Linked DNA regions of Notamacropus eugenii. The protein of the gene in region 1 purifies or fractionates together with the protein of each later gene. This does not show direct contact. Links are inferred from orthologs where the notes say so. Each region holds a gene or a part of one and is shown in the gene's direction. Other genes may lie near its edges.

Region 1 (3,745 bases):
GGAGGGCACTGGGGAAATTGGAAAGGCCTGCCCTGGATCTCAGTGCTTCTGGGCAGTCTCCCCATAGACCTTCCCTTTCGCTCACCAGGATGAGCCCAGAGATCCTGTCCCAGTCCCCTCCGAAGAAACCGAGACTGATGAGTTGTGGGATTCGTTGGAGCCCGTGACCGCAGGGGCCAAGAGGAAACGGCAGCCTGTGGGGAAGAAGCAGCAACCGGCGTTGGGGGGCCCCCCACCTCTGCCCCCCCTTTGTAAATAAAGAAGTCACCCCCTTCTGTGACCCTGCCTCCTCCTTGCGAGAGCCCGGCCCGGGACCCTGCGGCGGCAGCCCGCTTGGGGGGCGGGGGTGGGGAGGGCTCTGATGTCACAAAAGCTCGGGCCTCCGGCCAGAGCGATGGCTGCCCGGCCTCCAGGTCGGCGGAGGGGACATGGGCTGTGCCAGGTCCAAGAGCAGGAGTCACGATGACGTGTGCCCCGGGGAAGAAATGGAAGGTAGGGCGTGGGGGGGCGGCTGCCCCGGGCTGGGGGGGCTGGCCGAGGCCCGGAACGCCCCGAGGTGCAGACGGGCAGCGCGGCTCCCTCCCCGCCCCGCAGGACCGGCCAGCCGCTACGAGGGGTCCCACAAGTCCAACGACAGCCTGATCATCACGGTGCTCTGGCGGAGGCTGTCCATGTTCAGCCGGCGGGGCTCCACGCGCCAGCAGCAGCCCGCGGTGAGGACCGCGTCCGGAGCGAAGTCGGGCTCCGCCGGGCGGACCCCGGAGGCCCCCGAGCCGCAGCAGTTCGAGGAGCTCACGTCGCCCGATCTGGGCCGAGACCCGGAGCCCCGATGACGCCGGCGGAGCCCCGCCCCGCCCCGCCCCGCCCCCCGGAGAAGAGAATAAAAGTAGTGACCTGGAGTCGGGAGGTGGAGCCTGCCTCGGGTCTGCCTGGGGGAGAGGGCGCGGGGCCTCAGTTTCCCCTAAGCTGAAAGGGGAGGAGCCGCGAATCTGCGCGGCGAGCCCTTTAAGGTTCTTCGGGAGGCTGTGGCGTAACCCAAGGGGCGTGGCGCCGTAGGTTTCCATGGAGGAGGGAGGAGGCGGGACTTGGGGGAGGGGATTAAGCCGGCTGGTGGGCGTGGCATGCTGGGAGCCTGGGTCGCTGTCGGGGGAGGGGCGTCGCCAAGGAGTCTCCCGGGCGAGTGGGCGTGACCGTCACTGTTGATGCGGGGGCGTGGCCTCCGCCGCCGGAGGGGGGCGTGTCGGCGCGCTGCCGTCATTTTGGGGCGGGGCCACGCCTAGGTGACGTGTCAACCTCTGGTCTCTGGTCCCGTTTCTCTGGCTCGTCCCCGGGGAAGAAACAGTACCGGCCCGGGTGGCGGAGGTGGCGGCAGCAGGCAGCGACGCGGAGGTAGGAGACGACCCGGACGAGCCTGGGGAAGACGCTGGGGCCGAGGGCGGCCGGCTCTCGGTGGGGCGGGGATGGGGGGGACGACGACCGACCGGGGAGACCGGGGACTTCTGCCGGTCCAGCCGCTGGTGAGCGATGCCTCCCCTACCCAATCAGAGCGCCGCCTTCCGTGAAGGATAGCGGCAGCAGCCAATCGTTGCCCAAAGCCGCGGAGGGGGCGGGGTTTAGTCTGGGGCGGGACTTCCGATGTCAGATAAACATTTTGGAGGGTACCCCTGACCAGCATCCTGTCTCCTGGGAGCCCCAGAACGGAGACCCCTCTTCCCTCTCCACCCCCTGAGCCTTCCTCCGGCTCTCTTTCAGCCCTTCCCCCATCCTTCCTCCCGCCCCCTTTCTCCTCCTGCCCCTCTGGTCTCTTCGCCCTCTTCCTTCATTGCCCCCATCTCTCCCCCTCCCTTACTCCTCCCCATTTTCCTTAATCTCTGCCCCTCCCCCTCCTCCCCCATTCCCCCCACCGCTCTCCCCTCCTCCCCCATTCCCCCCACCGCTCTCCCCTCCTCCCCCATTCCCCCCCACCGCTCTCCCCTCCTCCCCCATTCCCCCCCACCGCTCTCCCCTCCTCCCCCATTCCCCCCCATCGCTCTCCCCTCCTCCCCCATTCCCCCCATCGCTCTCCCCTCCTCCCCCATTCCCCCCCACCGCTCTCCCCTCCTCCCCCATTCCCCCCCATCGCTCTCCCCTCCTCCCCCATTCCCCCCCACCGCTCTCCCCTCCTCCCCCATTCCCCCCACCGCTCTCCCCTCCTCCCCCATTCCCCCCACCGCTCTCCCCTCCTCCCCCATTCCCCCCACCGCTCTCCCCTCCTCCCCCATTCCCCCCACCGCTCTCCCCTCCTCCCCCATTCCCCCCCATCGCTCTCCCCTCCTCCCCCATTCCCCCCCACCGCTCTCCCCTCCTCCCCCATTCCCCCCCACCGCTCTCCCCTCCTCCCCCATTCCCCCCCACCGCTCTCCCCTCCTCCCCCATTCCCCCCCATCGCTCTCCCCTCCTCCCCCATTCCCCCCATCGCTCTCCCCCTCCTCCCCCATTCCCCCCCATCGCTCTCCCCTCCTCCCCCATTCCCCCCCATCGCTCTCCCCTCCTCCCCCATTCCCCCCCACCGCTCTCCCCTCCTCCCCCATTCCCCCCCATCGCTCTCCCCTCCTCCCCCATTCCCCCCCATCGCTCTCCCCTCCTCCCCCATTCCCCCCCATCGCTCTCCCCTCCTCCCCCATTCCCCCCCATCGCTCTCCCCTCCTCCCCCATTCCCCCCACCGCTCTCCCCTCCTCCCCCATTCTCCCCATCGCTTTCCCCCTCCTTTTCTCCTTCAGCCCTCCCTCATTCTTTCTCTTTTCTCTCCCCCTTCCTTTCCCACCTCGCTTCATCCCTTTTCTCATTTCTTCCTTCTTGCTCTTCTCTCCTAACCCCTCCCCCATTCCCTCTCTTACTTCTCTCCCCCTCGTTCCATTCTCTTTTCCTCTCAGTTCCTTTTTGTCCTCCCTTCTTTCCCCCTTTTTACTTTTCTCTCTGGAGCCCCCCATTCCTTCTCCCTTGTCTTTCCCTTCTTCCCCTTTTGCCCTCCAAGGTGACAAGTATATAGGAACTGGACCTGGAGGTGGAAGGGAACTTGCAGTTAAAATGTGATTTTAGACACTCCTTAACTGGGTGACTCTGGCCCAGTGACTTCAGTTTCCTCCTCTGTAAAATAAAGATAATAGGAGCCCTGGTTCCCTCTCAAATGAGACATCTCAGAAGAGCTTTTAGCAGTGTCAGCCACATAATTGGCATGTAATAAATGCTCATTTCCTTTCTCCCCCTCCCCATTCTCTCCCTCCTCCTTCCTTTCCCTTCTCCCCCTCCCCATTCTCTCCCTCCTTCCTTTCCCTTCTCCCCCTCCCCATTCTCTCCTTCCTCCATCCTTTCCCTTCTCCCCCTCCCCATCCTCTCCTTCCTCCTTCCTTTCCCTTCTCCCCCTCCCCATCCTCTCCTTCCTCCTTCCTTTCCCTTCTCCCCCTCCCCATCCTCTCCTTCCTCCTTCCTTTCCCTTCTCCCCCTCCCCATCCTCTCCTTCCTCCTTCTTTCCCTTCTCCCCATTTACTTTTCTCTTCCTTTTCCTTCCTTCCTTTTCTCTGTTGTTCTCTCTTTGATTCTTACCCCCAGCACTCCTCTCTCCCCTCTGCATTTCTTCCTTTGCTTTTGCTTTCTTATTTCTGTGTTCACTTCCTTATCTTTATCTCTTCTTTCCTCAGATTTCTCCTCCCATTCTCCCTTTGGCATGTACAGCACAGACGCCTTGAACTTGGAGTGAGAGCCCCT
Region 2 (3,745 bases), about 280 Mb from region 1:
TTTCCATGGGTGGTCTTTGTATAATTTGCATTAGGTGGGGAAGGGAATCAAGATTAAGATATATAGCTTGGGACACTTCTATCTCAATAATATTGATCAGGAGTTCAACTTGAGCCTAAAGGTTATTTCCACCAGACTAACAGTATGTAAGGTGTTAAACTGATATAATCTGAAGAGAAGGGAGTGGCCAGCCTCAAAACTCTAATCTCCTGTCCTCGCCTTGGCAGAAATCAAAATGTTCCTGGGAGAAAGGTGAGAGGAAGAGACTAGAGATTTATGTCTACCTTCAAATTACAGCTAGACTGACTCATGTGGACATATATAACCTATATCACACTCACAGAGACATACACATGCATCAAACTGGAGCAAGAGGGTGACTTAAGAGAATAAGGATGTGTCAAAAGAACCAGGGATGTTTATTTTGGAAATAAGAAGATAGGATAACTGCTTTGAAATAAGAAAGAGAGATAAATTACCATGGTTCTATGAAGAGTAAAAGTAGAACCAGGCTGAGAAAGTTGCAAGGATACAGTTCAAAATAAGGAAGAACTTTCTAACAACTTGAGTTGTCAAAAAAGTCAATGGCAGGGTTTTCTTGTATGGTCATGCAGGAACTCCCCCTCAAAAGCCAAGGGAAGGGCTTTCTTGCATGGTGATGAGTGGGCTCCTCGTCACTAGAGCTGTTCAGGGATCTGTCAGGGTCACTGCATTGGAGGCTGGACAAGATGATGATCCCCAAGGTCCCTTCCAGGTCAGAGAGTCTATGATTCTTGTCATTCCAGGTCCTTCATTGATCTCATTCAAACAAAGAAACCTGGTTCTAAACCTTCTCTTTCTCTTTCCCCTCTCCCCTCTCCTTCTCTCCTCCCCCCTCTTAGGGGGCGGGGCGAGTGAATGCACTCTTAGGCTCTAGCCCCTCCCACAAGGCCAGCAGGCGGGGCGAGGGGGAGGTGGGCGGGGCCCGTCAGGCTCAGCTAAAGCGGGAAGCAGAGCAGGGTAGGAACGTGCGCGCCGGAACTGGTTGTTTCTGACCGGACCAGGGTGGGGAGGGACCGGAGGTAGGCGAACCTCACGCGCTTCTGTTTCCGGCCACCTCAGCTCGGGGAAGAGGAGACGCAGACAGAGCCAAGTCCTGAGCGGACCGGTCGCCAGGAGGAGAACGAAGGGAGACTACGGCGACTGCTGTTGTCAGGGGGGCGGTGTGGGCGCCCTTTTAAGCCGAAAAAATGGTGTTGCTGACGATGATCGCCCGGGTGGCGGATGGGCTGCCGCTGGCAGCTTCCATGCAAGAGGATGAGCAGGTGAGGGGGGAGGTGCGACCCGCCCCCTGTTCCTCCAGAGGACCCCCAGCCTTGGTTCCCGGCTCCGCCCGAGGTGGTAGGGCTGGAGACGGGGGATGCATCCGTGGTAGCACTAGCGGGGGGTGGCAGGGACTAGCTCCTCGGGGCACATGTTGCAATGGAATAAGTTCCACCCCCGGGAGCCCGGATCCTCTGGGGTAGGGGCGTGGCCATGCCCACCATCGCCCCGTCTGGACTTAGCCAACTGGATTGGGAGCCACAGCTTTGCCCTGGCTAAAGACACTGGGCAGGAAAGAGCCCTGACACGCTGTCTGACCCCTGGACCAGTTACATTTCCCCTCTGCCTCCCTTATCTAGAAAGGAGGGCCGGCTGCTAATCTTTGACCCGGCTCGTTACGTGGTTGACGAGGATATGTGTCGGAATTATTTTAAAGATCTTGCGTGGAAGGTGTTTATAGGTGGACTAAAGTTAGAGGTTACTAAAGCAGGATGAGAAGATCTAAATTCTCGTCTGACTTGTTTAAACCTTTACTTGAAAAAAAAATCCCCAAAATATGAAAGAAGGAACCTTTTTCTTACGGCTTCAACCGAGTTCAGCAGATACCCTGTATAATAAGTGCCTGCCATGGTCAAGGATTCTTTTCTAAGCCCCATTTCAGGGACCTTACTTTGGTGAGAGAGGTGACCCCGATTTTCTCAAATTTGTGCCAGCCAAAGCCCTGGTGGGTTTTATCAGCCATTAAAGATTGGAATATCAAGAGTTAGGTGTGGTGTCGGAGCTCATTGAATACAACTTTTAGCCAAATCTCAGAGAAGGTCATCTAACCTCTCCTTGAAAACCAATGAGAGAAAAACCCTTATTTCCCAAGATGAGTCTTGGATACCCCTAACTGTTAGGATTTTTTTTCTCATATTGAGTATAAATCTACTTTTTTTTTTCTATTTTCCTCCTGTTGTTGTTAAAGTTCAGCCCTCCAGAGCCTCTTCCACAGGAGAGCTCTTCGAATACTGGAAGATAACTCTCATGGCCCCTTTTGACCTTCCGTTTGCGGAGGTAACCACAGTTCTGGCAAGTAGTCGTCATATGTCATTGGCCTCCCTGAATGTTTGTCATTCTTCCTCTTAAAATGTGGTGCCTGGAACTGACCACAGTATAGTGGATGGAGTCTGACCAGGACAGACCCAACAAAACTATCACTTCTTTTATCCTGGACACTAGTACTTCTCACTTGGGCAGCCCAAGATCACACTGCTTTCTTTGGCTGCCATGTTGTCATATTGTTGACCCCTTGAAATCACAGTCCAATAAACTCTTGACTCTCTTTCATGAACAGTAAAGCTCTTCATATCAAGTGACAGCATCTAAGGCCCAGCCTAGGTAAGTTCAGAGAGATTCATTATCCTACATTTGGTTAGCACAGGATGAAATCTTCTGACTCTAGCAGCCCATGAAGACCTAAGGGAAGGTTTGTGGTTGGAATGGTGGAAGGGGTATCCATGAGATACTGTTCAAGGCCTGTGCACAGGTGAAATCTGGAGAGAGCTCATGTCAAATACCTATGTTGTTGTTATTTGATCCTTTTTCAGTCAAGCCCTGTTCTTTGTGATGCCATTTGGGGGTTTTCTTGGCAGAGATACTGGATTACTATACCCTTCTCCAGCTCATTTGACAGATAAGGAAACTGAGGCAAACAAGGTTAAGTGACTTGCCCAAGGTCACACAGCTAGTAAGTGTCTGAAGCCACTTTTCATCTTGGGAAGATGTCTTCAGGCCTGACACTCTGTCCACGAACCACCTTGCTGCCCTATGCAAGTACCTGTTATGCTTAGGGATATACAAAAGACAAGGGGCAGTGGATAGAACACCAGTGCAGTAGTCAGAAGGACCTGAGTTAAAATCTCACCTCAGACACTTGACACTCACTAGCTGTATGACCTTGGGCAAGTCACTTAACCCCAGTTGCCTCATCCTGGCTCATCTCCAGTCATCCTGATGAATATCTGGTCACTGGATTCAGATGGCTCTGGAGGAGAAGTGAGGCTGGTGACCTGCACAGCCCTCCCTCACTCAAAACAAAGCCAAGTGCAAGTCATATCATTATTTCTCTGATGGCATGGTCTTCTTTGGCAATGAAGGACGAACACACACACACACAAAAGACAGCATGTTATAGTGAAGGAACATCAGAGTGAAGAGCCTGGAGATTTGAGTTTTAATATGACTCATCCTGATTAGTTGTTTGATATTGGACAAATCACTTTTTTGAAATTATAAAATATGAATGACGCTTCTTACTACATGCACTACATGATTGTTAGAAAGAGTTTTGCAAAACTTAAAATGCAATGTAAATGTGAGTTATAATATTAATTGATATAATTACATTAATTAATATAATATTAAGATTGATGAAATAGGATCCAGTGCCATCCTTTTAGAT

Evidence for each region.
Region 2: the proteins of STX5 (region 1) and SEC22B purify together in Homo sapiens (co-immunoprecipitation; 4 studies listed by BioGRID and IntAct, counting the BioPlex papers as one, with this or other methods). This does not show direct contact. The link is inferred for Notamacropus eugenii from reciprocal best matches to the Homo sapiens genes STX5 and SEC22B.

Annotation. Positions count from the first base shown.
Region 1 is NC_092873.1:15,894,482-15,898,226, reverse strand, and holds the start of STX5 (syntaxin-5), read left to right. Parts: upstream 1-1,198; 5' UTR 1,199-1,389; exon of another isoform or gene 1,390-1,517; intron 1,518-3,678; exon of another isoform or gene 3,679-3,745. Other genes in the region: TEX54 (testis-expressed protein 54), read left to right, coding at 429-492, 595-833. UniProt on the Homo sapiens protein: Mediates endoplasmic reticulum to Golgi transport.
Region 2 is NC_092873.1:300,261,967-300,265,711, reverse strand, and holds the start of SEC22B (vesicle-trafficking protein SEC22b), read left to right. Parts: upstream 1-936; 5' UTR 937-1,229; coding exon 1,230-1,304; intron 1,305-3,745. UniProt on the Homo sapiens protein: SNARE involved in targeting and fusion of ER-derived transport vesicles with the Golgi complex as well as Golgi-derived retrograde transport vesicles with the ER.